2 linked regions of the Rhinolophus ferrumequinum genome follow. Each later gene encodes a partner of the first gene's protein in a complex. Links are inferred from orthologs where the notes say so. Each region holds a gene or a part of one and is shown in the gene's direction. Other genes may lie near its edges.

The links.
Region 2: the proteins of PDPN (region 1) and CLEC1B are in contact, whole or in part, in a crystal structure (PDB 3WSR), measured with the Homo sapiens proteins. The link is inferred for Rhinolophus ferrumequinum from reciprocal best matches to the Homo sapiens genes PDPN and CLEC1B. Residues at the interface, in NP_006465.4 of Homo sapiens: Ala46, Glu47, Asp48, Asp49, Val50; in NP_001380271.1 of Homo sapiens: Arg107, Phe116, Arg118, Arg152, Thr153, His154, Leu155, Arg157.

What each region holds. Positions count from the first base shown.
Region 1 is NC_046292.1:8,864,856-8,873,110, forward strand, and holds the start of PDPN (podoplanin), read left to right. Parts: upstream 1-5,134; 5' UTR 5,135-5,355; coding exon 5,356-5,416; intron 5,417-8,255. UniProt on the Homo sapiens protein: Mediates effects on cell migration and adhesion through its different partners.
Region 2 is NC_046293.1:25,787,574-25,795,796, forward strand, and holds the start of CLEC1B (C-type lectin domain family 1 member B), read left to right. Parts: upstream 1-5,122; 5' UTR 5,123-5,321; coding exon 5,322-5,385; intron 5,386-6,061; coding exon 6,062-6,160; intron 6,161-7,208; coding exon 7,209-7,328; intron 7,329-7,487; coding exon 7,488-7,639; intron 7,640-8,223. UniProt on the Homo sapiens protein: C-type lectin-like receptor that functions as a platelet receptor for the lymphatic endothelial marker, PDPN.

The sequences.
Region 1 (8,255 bases):
GACGTGTGTCCTGGACCTCCTCAGGTGACTCACTGAGAAAACACAGCATTACAATATCCAACCAGAAATGCACACCTGCATCTAATCATGAGCAAAGAGCAGACAAACCCAAACTGAAGAATGGTCTACAAAATAAGGCCCATAGCATTTGAAAAACATCAAGTTCAAGAAGGACAAAGAACGGCGGAAGCAGAGTTCCAGTATCTTCTGGAGACGGGACAGCCAACTGCATTGTGCGGTCCTGGATTAGATTCTTGTGCATGGGGAGCGGGGGAGGGCTGTAAAGGGTATCACTGGGAAATTTGTCAAAATGTGAATGTGCAGCGTGGATTAGACAATAGTGTTTTAATATTAGATTTTGTGATTTGACAATTCCCACTGTGACTGTCAAAGAGAATGTCCCTGACCTCAGGAAATTCACACCCAACTATTTAGGGCCAGAAGGCACCAGTATCTTCATGACTCTCAAGGGTTTCAGAATAAGACCAATATGAAAATGTGTATCAATAGAGAGATAATGATGAGGAAAACGGGGCAAAACACAAACAGATTGGTGAATCTGGAGGAAAGGTATATGGGAATGCTTGCACTTGCAACTTTTCTGCAGATTTGCAATTTTGTCAAGAGAAAAAGTAGTAAACAAATACACAAAGAAATCTGGCCAAATGATCATTTTTCTACTTTCCTGCTTTTTCTACATTTTCTTTAATAAATGTATATTTTTATAATGAAAAATTAATAAACGCATATCATTTTTAAAAAGACGGTTAGTGATGCTAACCCTTTTAAGTGTAACTGGAAAGGTTTCCAGATCTATCAAAAAAAAATTATCAAGCTGTATGAATTAAAATTCACAGATAAGGGCCGGCTCGGTGGCTCAGGCAGTTGGAGCTCCATGCTCCTATCTCCAAAGGCTACCGGTTCAATTTGCACATGGGCCAGTGGGCTCTCAACCATGAGGTTGCCGGTTCGACTCCCGCAAGGGATGGTGGGCTGCGCCCCCTGCAACTAGCAACGGCAACTGGACTGGAGCTGAGCTGCGCCCTCCACAACTAAGACTGAAAGAACAACAACTTGAAGCTGAAGGGCACCCTCCACAACTAAGATTGAAAGGACAACAACTTGACTTGGAAAAAAGTCCTGGAAGTACACTGTTCCCCAATAAAGTCCTGTTTCCCTTCCCCAATAAAATCTTTAAAAAAAAAAAATTCACAGATAAAAATTTTATGTAATTTTTTTTCATGGTCAGTGTGCTTACTCGGCCAATATTATTGTCATCTCATTAAATATGTTTTCCAATTACAGTCAGTCTTCATCTTTCTTTTTATGAAGTGTTTAATACCTTGTTTCCCCGAAAATAAGACGAGGTCTTATATTAAGGTTTGCTCCAAAAGACGTACTAGGGCTTATGTTCAGGGGATGTCATCCTGACGAAATCATGTTAGGGATGATTTCCCAGTTAGGTCTTATTTTCGGAGAAGCACAGTATGTTCTACCTCCAGTGAAACATATACTTATTCAACTGTTCAATGAAGATTCATTGGTACCTAGTTTTTAAACATTCCTTGAGGGGGTCTGTACAATTGTGTGCAGCCCACTGGAATAGGGCATGAGACAGTTTGAGTGTGACAATAGGAGGGGTCACTAAGCACTGGGGAGACCCCTGGCAAAGCAATGGGGTGTTCTGGCAGACAGAGACAGCCCAGTGAGTCAGAAATCCAATCTAGCTTCCTATTCATGCAATGAATGCAGGAGCCAGCCTCCAAGTCGCAGTGCAGAAGCTAGCTAGTTCCTGGGTGGAACTGGGAGGTAATCTGCATCCCAGAGGGGACCTTGGACCCAGAGAGATGAACAAGGATCCAGGTGGGGCCTCTCAGGAATAAGGCCCAAGGTGAGGGTTGGACTAGCAGAGAGGACGAGTTGATGCTGAATCCCTGTGTGTGGGACCAGCTGGGTTTCCTAAGGTTGAAAAGAACCAGTTCTATTGGGTCCATGTCAAGAACCTCTGCCCTGCAGGTGGTGCTGGCCAGTGTTCGGGTGAGGACAGGTGGGCACCCGAGGACTCAAGAGGCTGAGAACCAGGCAGGACAAGGCAGGGACTAATCATAGCAATCACAGCAGTCACACTCTTTGCTGTGCATAGAACTCTCCAAAGTAGGAATTACATGCCCATTTTAAAGAAGCAGAAACTGAGGCCTATGCTGCCCAAGGCCACCAGGGAGCTGAATTTTGATTCCAAAACACTGAGGCTTTTCCCAGCAAACCAAGCTGCTCTGGGTTCCTTCAGTCCCCGTGCCTCTCCCCACTCACCATCCCCGCCCCCGTCCCCCGCAGGCTTGTTCCATTCTTGCTAACCCCAGCTCGTACCTCCAACTGCAGATCTATTCCTGAGTCACAGAGGCGCCTCTGACATCAGAGATCCCATCAGGTGCTGCCTCAGCTCCGAGGGAGGGTGTGTTGGGAAGCCAGGGAAGAAGCTGAGAAATCTTCCCAGGCAGCCTGGGAAGCTTGGCCCGCTGCTCCCAGAATGCAGGGAACATGAGAGATCCTCATTCACTCTCCAGCATCCCTCAGTGTGGAGAGTCCCAGGCTGGATGCTCTGGCTGGATTCCTTCTCTTGCAGCCTAGTCCCCAACCCCGGGGGACAGGGCAGGGACTCTTGCTTCTTAAAGGCAACTTACAGACCTCTCCCCCTAGATCCTGAAGCGAGACACAGCACTAGTCCTGCAATAGAGGGACGGTGGCTCCATCTCTCGTTATGGACCACCCCCACCCCCACTGCTGGAGAATTTGTGTGGTCTCTAACCCAGTGCTTCTCAAAGTAGGGCCCCAGAAACTTGTCAGAAATGCGACTTCTTGGGCCCCACCCAGGCAAATCGATGCACACGCCTCAGAAAACCACTTTGCTCTGGAAACCCGTGTCCTTGTTCATAAAGTATTATCAGTGTTCTCACCCTGGGTCGTTTCGAGAAGTCAGGGAGATAGTGCTGGATTCCTGGAGTTCCTGGTGTGCTGGGTAAATGTCCCCGCTATCTAACCAGTCAGCACTTTAGGAGCCCAAGCTGTTTCACAAGCAGGGAGGAATCTTCTGGTGTGTTCCCTGCTTGTCCCTTTCTTCCCCTCATCTGGGCTGGTCTCAGGCTTCTGAATTTCACCCGTTCACTGACGCCTCTTTACTTACCCCGAGTCACTCAGGTGCCCCACTCAGGTGCACTGAGGCTGCATCCCCTCCCTCTGCTCTGCCGTTTGCCTTGTTGAGGAAGGTTCCCCACCCCAAGCCCAGCCATTCTCCTCAGTTACTCAAACCCACAGCACCAGGACCCCGTCCTTACACTCCCCGGTCCTGGCCCCTCTCCCCATCCCCAGGATGGCCTCCAACACGATGCAATTCCCTGTTACCTGCTCCTCCATCTTCTACCAGAAGGTCAGGTGATCAACCTGGTAGAATCTAGACACTTCCCTGCGGGGGCAGAGGGTAGAGGAGGCATCTCTGTTAATAATAACCTGGCCCTAAGCAGCCTCTAAATCAGCGGCACTTAACCTGTTCTCCCACCTAGCTTCATTTCATCTCCATTTCCGAGTGAAGGTGGCCTTTTTGTTTTTTTCTTGACTTTGGAGTGGATTTGCATCTATTCTCCGTCTAGCGGTTTCAACAGACAATGCCTGCTCTGAACATGCAGTAATAATAATAAAATGTAATAGCAAGGTGGGCAAGTCACTTCAGATTTGATCTATTTCCAGTTTTCTCTTTACCTTTCCACTGCCTTGCCTCTCTGGGCCCCTTCCTCTGCTTCCTTCAGGTGTCAGCTCCCGGACCAGGCATCACGTGGGGGATCTTTGGAAATGCAGACTTCCTTCCTCCCCCCCAGACCCATAGAGGCTGCACCTGCATTTTAACACTAAATATCCCTGTGGACAAGTTCTCTGGGGACACTGGCTTCAAATATGAATTCCCAAAGGGTATGGATAATGAGTAGGGGTGGAATCCAGGAATCTGAGCTCTTAAAGCAGTCTTCCTAGGTAACTTTTAAGTGAATTTGGATAAGTAAGTCTAGGATAAAGATCTGAAAACCACCAATTTTCACCCCCATATGGAGCTTTAGGGTGTTAGTCTTCAGGTTTTTTATTGAATGAAATTGGTGACAGCTGGGAGTGGGTCCAGGGCCACTTCCCCAAGTCCTCTTCTTAATTTTTTGTGTTTTTCAATTCCAACAGTTCAGAAGGAAATAAAGTATTAGGTTGGTGCAAAAGTAATTGCGGTTTAACAGGTTAAAAATAATTGCAAAAACCTCAATTAGTTTTGCACCAACCTAATACAAACTCTGCTTGTTGCTAGCATCCGGTACTTGCGATCAGGGTGATTGCTGAACAGGCAGAGTGGGGATTATGGGGTCAAACTCCGGGATTACAGAGAACCAGCTGGAACTGGAAGTGAACACAGGTTTGGTGACCAGGTGGGCCTGCTGACGTCCTCGGGCTGCAGACCTCATCCCACTGCCCACAATCAACCATGGGCCCCAGCATCGCAGCGCTACTTCCAAAATCAGGAGGGCTAGTCTGGAGCTCAGCCTTTTCTCTGGAACTGCCACAGCCACAGCGTCTGCCAAGCTCTCTGCCAGGTCTCTCCGGCAGCTACTGCTCCAGTCCCCCCTGGACAAGGGCGCAATTTACCAGCATGAGTGGCCTCTGGCCCACCCAGATGAGGAGCCCTCCCCCCCCCCCTTTTTGAAGCCATCCAATTCAGTGTTTACGAGAACAATCCCATGCTTGGTTCTAAAATTACTGGCCACACAAGGAACAGTTTACTTCTCATAACAAGAAAAACCTAGGCTTTGTGCCTTGCGCTTAAAAAACCAGAATAATAAAATAAAGTTTAAAATTTTTAAAAAATAAATCGCTTACTGCATGCGCCCCCTTTCCCTCCTGTTGGGGAACAGAGTAAAAACAATTTTGCCAGCGCTCAGGGCCCTTCACGCGTCCTGGCAGCCCCCACAGCTGCAGCCCTGTAACTTTAAACCTGGCCTGAGGTCATCGTTTTCACGCTGGCCAAACAGAGCAAGAGGGCGGTCCCAGGGAGCCCAGACTGAGACCACCTTACAGCGGGACGCTCCCGCCCTCCTCGGGAGAGATAAATGCTGACTCCACTCCCAAAGTTTCCAACTGCAAAGTTTGCTCCTCCAGCTGCCGCGGGCGAAGGAAGCTTAGGGACCCCTCCCGCGCTGGGACTTTTGCTCCCCGCATTCCAGCCCCCACGTTCGCGCTCTGCCAGGAGAGGCCTGTGTCTGCAGATTTTTCATCTTCCCTCAGCACAGAAACGAGCTGCTCGACCCCCAAGGGAGCAAGTTAAGGAAGAAGATGTGGAAGGTGCCAGTTTTGCTGTTGGTTTTGGGAAGAGCATCGGGAATTCTGGCAGGAGGTAAGTAAGACTCGGTGCGAGGCGCTGGTGGGGGTGAGCTAGCCCTGACTTGCTGAAATGCCCGGGTCTGGGATTTGAGGTTGCCCGGGGGAGCAGAGGGCGGGCCGGGAGTGTGTGAGTACTCGAGTCTGGAGGACCCAGGAGAAGGAGAGACAGCGGCTTATCGGGTGCCAGGTCCCATAGAAAGAGCTGAGCGGGATTCGAGGAGGAGCCCCGGAACCCTACAGGCAGCAAGGGTGGGGAGCAGAGGGGGCCTCTCTCCCTGTCAGCCCACCTCCTGCTGTCCCCTGCTCGGCTCGCAAGAGGTAGGGTGACAGATAAGAGCAAGGAGGCTTCCCACTGGCAGGACTGGGCTTTCCTACAGGGCTGTACTGGAGAAATGCCATGGCCTCAGAAGAGATGGGGCCCATGGAATGGGGAGGGACATTCAGGAGTGCTGGGGTTGGGGGGAGGGTTCCCCCTGTGCAGTGGTGGTCTCTCTCTGGGGGCTGCCAGGTCTTACACCCTGTGCACCCACATAAAACACACTTAGGACCCAACCAACAGGGATGAGCTGGAAGAGGCCCCGTCTCCTCCTAGAGAGGGGTAGTGTGGATGGACAGGACTGAAGTGGACGGCTCCTGAGTAACGCAAGCGAATGGAAGGTGGCTCTTTGGGGCTGTGTGTCGAACTTGGCCAACAATCTGAGTTACTGCAGGAATGCTGGTGACTCCTTAGATTTCAAATGTATCAGATCCGATGCTGGGGGCACTGCCTGCCGGTCGCCTACATCTTTCCATCTCATTGCCCTCTTCTTCCTCTCATCCTCTTCTCATTCCTTTGCGTCTTTCTGTGGAGCGCACTGCGTGGATGGCATCCGTGAACATTTGTCATCACTTTATTTCTTTTCTTGGGTCTTTATTATCTGTTTTCCCCCGTAGAATATAAGCGCCCAAGGACACAGCTGTGTCTTAGCCTTGATCCCCAGGAACAAACCAATGTCCTGCGTGCCAGAGTTGCTCACTCAATGTTGGCTGAAGGAGTTGTAAGCTAACGCGTGATCTTTGAGGTTGGAGCTGGCCGAGCTCTGTGCTCTGAAAAGTAAACTCTTACATGGTCCAAACTGAAGATCCAGGTTAGAGAAATCCTTGGAGGGCGTGATTTGAGGGAAGAGCAGACGTCACCTAGGCTTCCTTATTTCCACACAAAGGAGAGCATCCTTAGCCCTAGGGAAAAGATACCGGGAGTAGTGTGCTCAGTGCTGGGCTGGTTGCTTTGGAGAGAAGGAACTACTCTGTCTATAGGCCCGGGGGGGCTATTCTCGTGGTGGCCCTATTTTGGAACTTCTCTTTCCACTGTGATATAGACAGCTCTGCCTTTCAGTTACATTTCCTTTTTGGCGAGACAGAGTGCACATGACACCATTTTGTGCTCACCAGGGCGAGGTGTGGGAGGTCCCCCAAACCGAGCCACCTCCCAGCCCTGCTGAGCAAAGACGGCATTCTCTGTTTGTGACCGGGGAAGGGTTAGCTGTAATTATCTTTAAGCCAGTTCCTGAGTGTCAAAGGGACTCCTAAAAGGTAGCGGTAAACCTTGTCTGAAAATACAGCCGTGGTTGGTACTAGAAACTGGACTGCTAAAGACGGAAGCCCCCTAGGCTGTGGGGGGTGAGGGGAGATGGCTGTGTGGGGACACTGATTTGCTGGCCTGCTGGCAAGGAGCTGAGGCCCAGGAGGGGTTTTGTCTGAGGATAATGAGTGAGGCAACTTGCATATGGATGAATAACTTCATTGAGCTGAGCTATTGTCGGCTCTTGTTGGGGAGCTGGGGGCGGGGGGGGGCAGTGGGTAATTATGGTGATGAATTTTATGATCCGTCTCACAGGATCCCACTCTCCCACTGGGCTTCCCTCCTCTAGTGTTATAATCTGGCTCAGTTTTATAATCTGGTCCCGTGGGTTGTCTCTTTGGATGTGCGTGGACTCAAAGGCCCTCTGTTGTCCACACATCTGGCATTTTCCTCAATTGTCAGGCCCCACCCTCCCTCTGAACTTTCATCCAAAACATACCTCAGGGCCTCTCCATTAGATCGTTTGTTTGGTGAAATTCTGCAGGCTGCTGCTTGCTGCAAACCCACAAGTGCGTGCTTTTCCGGGATCAATCCACCCAGGATTAATCATGAGGCAAACAAACTTGCCTGTGATTTCCCCGAAACCCTTGCCAGTTTCAGAGGCCTTGAAATCTTCATCGGTTGCTCAGACTGTGTGTAGCACATAAGGCATTGATCAAGCATTTAATAAAGATCAGATCTGTTAGAGCCTTCGTGAGGGAGGCCTATCCATTACACGGGTGTGTAGGAGCCAAAATAGCATTTAATACAGAAAAGCACATTTTAAAAAAGTATCCCAGCACGAGAAGGCTAAGTCAGGACATGGCAGACAGGGAGGAGGAGCCCTGGCTGAGCAGAGGTATGCGGCAGGCCCCTGGTCTCTTTCTCTGGCCTCTGAAATCAGTGGCCCATGAGTAACTCCATTCCCTAGAATGATAAAGACCCCAAACCTTGGCATCACGTGGATGGTCTGCCCAAGTAGGAAGGATGTCACCTCCCAGCTATTCCCGCTCCCTTCCCCGCCACGCGCCAGGTGTGTCACAGTTACCTCATGTAATCATCACCACTCCTTAAATTTTATTTTAATCTTCAGACTTTGCCAGAGTTGAGATTAAAAATGGGTCTAACTCCAAACCCCAAGCTCTTTTTGCTACCGTCCACTGCCGGAAAAACAAAAACCTGAAACAATAACAACCACCACAAAATGAAGGTTGAACTTGAAATTAAAAGTTAACCTCACTTTAAGCTCCTT
Region 2 (8,223 bases), on another chromosome or scaffold:
CACTATTAGTATATCAGAAGTAAGATTAAATTATTCTAGATGATATTAAAAATGGAAGAAACTGTGCAATTGCCCAAGCACTCCTAGTAAAAGTTAAACAAATCAATTCAAATGAACACAGCTAGGGCCTGTCCCAAGCCTGACCAGTAGAGATCTATTATCCGATTTTTTTTTCCTTCATCGCATTTCTCATGAAATTATCTTGCTCTGTGCTTCCTTTGCTTCTCTGCTACCTGTGTCCACCCCCTTCCCCCACTAAAATATAAGCTTGGTAAGAGTGCAACTCTTGTACGTTTTTTTCATCATTTGATCTCCAGAATACAGAATAGTACTTGAAACATAAACAGTGGCCAATAAATATATGTTCTAGTAATTGATTTATTAATTGTGCCTGCCATGTAAGTTTTACAATCATTTTAATAGGACACCTTCTATTCAAACATGCTGTGAAATGAATCCTTAGTTTAAATATGGTTGATCAATTCACTGCCTCTTGATCACATGCTCATTCAAACATATAGTTTCATTCAGATGTTTGCCATTCATGGTAAACATTCTCTTTTTCTCTCTCATGAAATTTTGCCTTTCCTTCAAGTCTTATATATTCCATTTTGTGATCATTTAACATGTTTACTTACAGATGTTTTGTGTGCATGTGTATGAAAAACTTCTCAGTAGTACAGATGGAGTCTCACACATATTTTTTCTTCATTTTCTCTACTACGTCTAACAAAACGCTCTACCATAATTGCTGTCTGATAGTTATTCATTGTTTAATTCACTAACTTTTAATACAGCTTATTTTAACTTCAGTCCACATGTTCAAGCTTTCTGAAGATAAAGAGAAAATATTAATTATGCCTTTTTCATGACAGGAAATCCTAGCCTTTTCCAAAAATAAACAGTATTTAATGTGTGTAAGAGGTTAGTCAGTAAAAGGTGAACCAAAAATGTTAATGCAGAGGACTGAAAGAGGCAACAGAATATCACCGATAAATGCACCTAAGGATTAGCTTAAAGGTGATATACATTAAAAAGTTTATAAAAAGATATCACCAACTGCAAAATGCTCAGTTCCTGTGCATATTTTTTCAGTTTAGAGACATTATTATAGCATTCAACATTATTTTCTTTTTCACTTTCTCTTTCACACACCCACTAGCCATCATTTTATATTGATCAGTCTTATCTGTCACGTTATGCGTTCCACTAACTTCTTTTCGTATTGCATTTACAACTTGTCATTGTCACCCTAGTGTCTTTTACTCCTTCTTCAGCTATAAACATAGATAATGGTGTCTGGACAATGCCTAAATTTAAAAAGACATCATAGGGTAGTGAAAAGACCTTGGAAACCAGGAAGATGGTACTACTTTTTACAAGAAATATGATCACAGAAGCCCCCAACTTCCTTAAACTTCTTTTTTTGTATGAGTAATATTAGAATGAAAATACCCATTGTACATATATTTATCCATTCATTTATTCACCAGTATCTGTTGGGTGGTAACTGTAAGTCAGTCACTATTTTAGTGTTATGGAATACACTCTTGAGGGGATATACAACAAAAATTTAAATATCTAAGAAGACTCTATGTGTGTCAGATAGTTAGGTGTTACAGAAAAGAGTGAGACATGGAAGCAGAATGAGATGTGGGCTGGTGTGCAGTGGGGTCAGGGAAGTTGTTCTAAATACTGAAAAATAAAGGGTAGAGAGCAAAAGTCTAAGATTCTGTGCTCCATAAGGACTAGTACCATGACTTTCTCTATGAATGCTCAATGTCAGTTTCGGTGTCTGAAATACAATAAACATTAATTAAATACCTGCTTTAAAATAAAAGAGATAATTCATGTAAAAGTGCCTCTTAAATAGTAAACAAATAAAGGTTTTTATTCTAAATTCAAACTCATAAGTTTGTTTGGAATAAAGAATGTTTTTTCAGATTTTTTTTAGTTCCCTGAACCAAAAAAAGAGGGAGTAATGAAATATTCAAGTGAAAAGTTAAAGGTAAAATTAAAAGTTCAAAGTTAAAATATGTCAATAATATGCCTAGTAGCATGATTAAGAGTTATCTAGCAAAGCTCCTAGATTTTGGAAAAGAGAAAAGAAAGCTTGTGATATCTATGCTCTTTGTCCTGCAGTTCTCTGTTTAATTGTTGCTGAGTATCTCAGCTTGTATTTATAAGACATGTAGAGGGAGAAAGCAGAATTAAGACTCAATGTTATCACGAGCTCCATTGAGAGTCTCTGTACTCAGAGCTAACATATTTCCAACAGCACAAAGCTATTCTTGGGGGATACAAATAAAGGCAAATATGTTTTTATGAAATATAGATCTAGACATAAGACTCTCAGTCTGTGGCTAGAGTCATCAAAGACCCTAAAACCATTATGAATTATATTCCAGAGACTGAGACATAGCAAAGGAATATCATCTGAGGCTTCCTGTTACCTGTTTTAGCTTTATTTACTTCTGATGTTAAATGTATACTTTTAAGCATGCATGGATCAAGAAGTAAGTCCAGAGTACTCCTGGATTTGGGGATTTAAGAGATTCAACTACTTCATTTTTAGTACATTATCACATTTGACTTTTATTTAAAGTAAGTGGGATTTTTCATTAAGGATTATTTTTTGGTGAAAATATTTAAATCATTGCTTTTGAGGTCAAGTTCATAAAATCCTCTCTGAACCCAAGATCCAGAAATCTAGTACCTATGCTTTTCTCTATGCAATTTATTGTTTCAGGTCTTATATTTAGGTCTTTGATCCATTTCGAGTTAATTTTGTATGTGGTGGCAGATAGCAACCTAGTTTCATTCTCTTGCATGTGGCTTTCCAATTTTCCCAGCACCATTTATTGACCTCAAAAGGGCAAGGGAAGTAAAAGCCAAAATAAATGAATGGGGCTATATCAAACTAAATAGCTCTGCACAGCAAAAGAAACCATCAACAAAATAAAGAGGCAACCAACCGAATGGGAGAAGATATTTTGCAAACTACACCTCCAATAAGGGGCTAATGTCCAAAATATATGAAGAACTCATACAACTCATCAACAACCACAAAAGCAATTCAATTAAAAAATGGACTGAGGACCTAGAGAGACATTTCTCCCCAAAAGACATGCAAATGGGGAACAGATAAATGAAAAAGTGCTCAACTTCACTAGCTGTTAGGGAAATGCAAATCGAAACCACAATGAGAAACCACCTCACACTTGCTAGAATCACTGTGATCAACAAGACAAGTAATAACAAGTGTTGGAGAGGTTGTGGAGAAAAAGGAACCCTTATACACTGCTGGTGGGAATGTAAACTGGTACAGCCACTATGCAAAACAATAAGGAGGTTCTTCAAAAAATTAAGAATAGAATTACTCTATGACCCAGCAATCCCTTTTCTGGGTATCTACCCCCAAAATCTGAAAACATTTATCCATAAAGATATATGTATCCTTATTGCAGCATTATTCATGGTGTCCAAGATATGAAAGCAACCAGTGTCCTTTGATAGATGATTGGATAAAGAAGATGAGGCACATATACACAATGGAATATTACTCAGTCATAAGAAAGGATGAAATACTGCCATTTGCGACAACATGTATGAATCTTGAGATTATCATGCTGAGCGAAATAAGTCAGAAAAAAGTCGAGAGCTGTGTGACTTCACTCGTATGTGGGATATAAAACTGAAAACAACAAAGGAATAAGACAAACTAACGAAGAAACAAAAACTCATAGACACAGACAACAGTTTAGTGATTACCAGAGGTTAAGAGGGGGCGGGGCAGTGGTAGAAGAGGGAAAAAGGTGTTAAATGTGTGATGATGGAAGGAGAACTGACTTGGGTGGTCAACACCCAGAGTATGCAACATATAGGTGATATGTTATAGAAATGTATACTTGAAACCAATATAACCAATGTCACCCCAATAAATTTAACAAAAATTAATTAAAAATATTTAAATCATGGTAAGTTTGGGATTTTTAGATCAGGCAATGCTTTTCATGCTGTTTTGTTTATTCTTTCACCATTCTCAAGACATTTTAAAATAAAAGATTATTTTAAGTGAGTTGACAAAGAATTCAGAGTGCAGGAGATAACAAGAAGAAAATAATACATGTATACAAGAAGTGCCTGAGGAAAGTTAGTAAACAAAATATCTGTCATGAAATCCTATGTAATTACTATATTGAAAAGTAAAGTCTAACACTTTATTAACTAAAGAAAAAGTAGAAACAGAATCATTTAGAAGGTAAATGTTTACTAGTTATTCAGAAAAAGAGAAACTTTTCTGGCCTGGATGTTTAACAAAAATATCTGCTATAAAACTATATAAAAGTGATTCTAAAAAGTAGATAGTACCTTCACTGATATTCCTACAATAAGTACAGCAGCTAACTTTCTATGGGTGTTCTTATTATATAAATGCTTTCAATATAAGCTAAAATGACAATTTAAAAACACATTTCATAAACTTAAATGTGTGGAATACATATTATATTGTGATGTAAAGGATACTAGGAAACCATCCTTTTCCCAAATAGCTGTTCATCTAAGCACAGCTATACTTGAAATTACATGACTTCATTGAGTTAAGAGTTTTCTATTCCTGGAAATTCACTTTAAAAGACAAACATCACTAAAAGTCAATACATGAAGTCACTAAATGTATTATTTCACTTTATGACTGTTTGCCTTTGATGCCTAGGCTCAAGAAGTATGCCTTGTGTGGAGTAATTGAATTTATAAAGAATTTGATTTGTGAAAAATGCAAGCAGTTGGTTGAAGTCAAGATGAGAATTAGAAATGGTGTCTTCTAACATAACACCATAAAATATTTAATTTAGCTTATATTAAATCAAAGTATATTAGACTTTTTCCTCACAATGGGATAGAATTTTTATCAGAAATCACTTCATTTAAACAATATGATTTAGACTCTGCAAGGGTTAAGATAAAGTGTGAACTTTTGTTCTTTGAAAGGATACACGTGATGCAATATTCCTTCATTCAGAGTTGAAGATAAGGAAAAAGGAAACAAATGCTGTATCTACTCCTTTACCACAAGTTATTATTATTTTTGTGTTTTTATGTCCAAGGTTCATGTATCTCTGAGGAGCTATGTAAGGATTTCCTGGAAAGAAAGAAAAAAAAAAAAAAAACCAAAGAAACAAATATATGCCCCAACTCATGTCTCCACCTTACCAGAGAGAGGAGGATCACAGACTGAGAGACACTGAAATCATAAACGTGGACACTACATTTTGTAAAGTCGTTGAACCCGAAGCTCACTTGCAGTTCAATAGAAAGCCATGCAGGATGAAGATGGATACATCACCTTAAATATTAAAACTCGAAAACCAGCTCTCACCTCAGGTAAGAATGCCCAGAGGAAACAATTTGGAAATTAATTATTGAAATACGTCAACCCTAATTTACTTTATTTTTTTTAACTAGTGACAGCACGTACAGTTTTCTTTTACTTTCCTGAATGACTTTCTTTTTCTATAACATTTGAGTACTATCTACATAGGCTCGGACAGACTTATTTAGAATACAAACAAGAAAAGATACAAGCAGGGAACGCTACTTTAGGTTTATAGAGTTTAATGTCGAGGGAATACAAACCAAGGAAGGTAAGGGGAAAGAAGGTTTGAAAACCCATTTTTAAGATGTCAACAAATGGGTGTGATTCTGCAGGTCCTGCTTATTAAAGCAATTATTTATTATTATTATTATTATTATTATTATTATTATTATCATTATTATTATTTGTGGGGAGGGTTGGTCACAGAACAAAACAAACACATAAGATCTTAACAGCTACTTGTATTTTGACTCAGAGACAAATGCACTAGGGATGAAGATGAATTTGTGGAATGGAATTGGGTTGTGCTTACTGTTGATGATCACTGAGGGAACATTGGTAAGATCTGCCAATAATGCTGTTTATATGCCTCAAAAAATCCTGAGTTGGCAGGGCCAGGAGAGGTGCTGCCCCGTAACTATGCCATACTGCCTGCCCCCTGACATTTTTATTGTATGCCCACAGTTGACTCTCCTTCCTCATCTCTGTGGCGTGTGATGGCTTTGATTCTGCTGGTCTTGTGTATTGGGCTGGTTGGTGGACTAGTGGCTCTGGGGATTATGTGTAAGTACTGACTCATTGCCAAAGATTTCATCCGAGGAAGGCAATACCAGGACCCATCCGAGGAAGGGTCCTGATGTAGGCCACTAAACTTAACTTATTTGTCAGTTTGTCACCACTCCAGTCATCCTATACATAGCTCTTAAGATATTCTCAATAAGAACTCTAACCTTTCCCTTCCAATTAAAATCACCATTTAGATTTTTTTGTTAATTAAAAATTATTTTCAAGAATTTTTAACTGGTCCTTAAGTTCCCCCTCAGCATAGATTCACACTAGCCTTTGAAACTTTCTTTTCTACCAATCCTGCAAATCCTAAGATCCAGCCAACATGGAGTTTTCTCAGTTTCACAAATACATCCCATGTTTCTCTGCCTGGGATTTTGCTCATTCTATTCCCTCTTCCTAAAATGTCCTCCACCCCATTTTGTTTAATGAATGTATTTACTTCCTAAGAGTTAATTAATATCCCACCTAATTTATAAGCATTTTTTCCCTCTAAATCTAAAAGCCCTCCAAAGTCACATTATCATCTATATAATTATTGCTTGTTTGTGTTCTTGTTTATTTTTTCATATTTTAGAATCTTTCATTCACCATTTTTTATTTACTTAAATATTACAATACTTTCAGCATAAAAGGCAATCAATATGTAACTTTTAAATAAATGGATATTTTGGTATTACATGAAAAACAAAAAAAGAGAGTTTATTCACATTTGTGAGATCTGCATAGAAATCTGTAGTATGGAAACTTCAAAACAACTTCTTTGGGCATGTGATTTGATCATGGCCTTTTCTTATTTGTGATTACCTCCTTCAAATAGTTCACTTATTCTTTTGGATAACCCTCAGCTGTCAGTTTGCTTAGTTCTTAATTTGTTCTTTATACCCCACCCCTTGACCCTGGTCCCTTGTCAGCACTCATTTCTCATGTGTATCTTGTAAACCCTTCATAGATTGATAATTCTAGTAAAACTGAAGTTTATTGAAATGTCTTTGCAGTATTTTTTTATTCTGATTATAAACTATTAACTAATTTTTACATTTAGCTCTCACGCAGCAAAACTACCTACAAGTTGAGAATGAAAATCTCTCAGGATCTCTGCAACAATTAGCAAAGCAGCTCTGCCAAAATTTAGTAAAACAATCAGAACAAAAGAATGGTTTCAGTAAGTATGGTTTGGTAACCTCTTCATCTCCCTTATCCCTGGAATATTTCTGTGATGCTATCTGTAGAAAATCTTGAGATCTATAGGAAAAATTGAATTTGGGGAATATGTAAGTCTGATTTAGAATAAAAGGTTTCCTATGTTTGATTTCTTCTTAAGGCCATAAGTGCAGCCCATGTGACACAAATTGGAGATATCATGGAGATAGTTGCTATGGATTCTTCAGGCACAACTTGACCTGGGAAGAGAGTAAGCAGTACTGTACCGACAGGAATGCTACTCTACTGAAGATTGCCAACCAGAACATCCTGGTGAGGTGATTCCTGTGTTAAATAATTTGGGATCATAGGGGGAAAATCCCAAGTGAAATATTTGACTTAAAAAGATACTTTTCTCATGCCTTCCAGTTTTGCTAATCTGAAAACCTTATTAAACTCAGTAAAAATCACAAAATTTGAGAATAGAAAGTGGTTAAGTAGGACTAACGAGAGTTGAAGTTCTGGTCTTATTTCTGCAACAAGTCACTTAACCTTTTTTCAATTTCCTTAAGTCTATGTACTAATTAATAAAATAATCTGAAAACATAAAGAAATGAAATATGGTTGTAAAATATAAATAACAGTGTTATCCCAATATTACATGCCTTCTCAGTTCCTGCTGAATTGTAGACAACTGAAAAAGCCATAAAGCAAACTCCATTTTTTCATAGGCTCTCCCAAACATAGTTTGGGGAGCAATCTCATTTGCAAAACACACAATATTTAAGTTGAAAATTTTCTACTAAACATATCTCCTCTTCCATATTTCCCTCTTTGACAGCTTCTAAGCCTATATTTTTAAACAAAATATGTCCACATCCACATTCCCTTTATTATTTAATGTAGCTTTTCTTTTC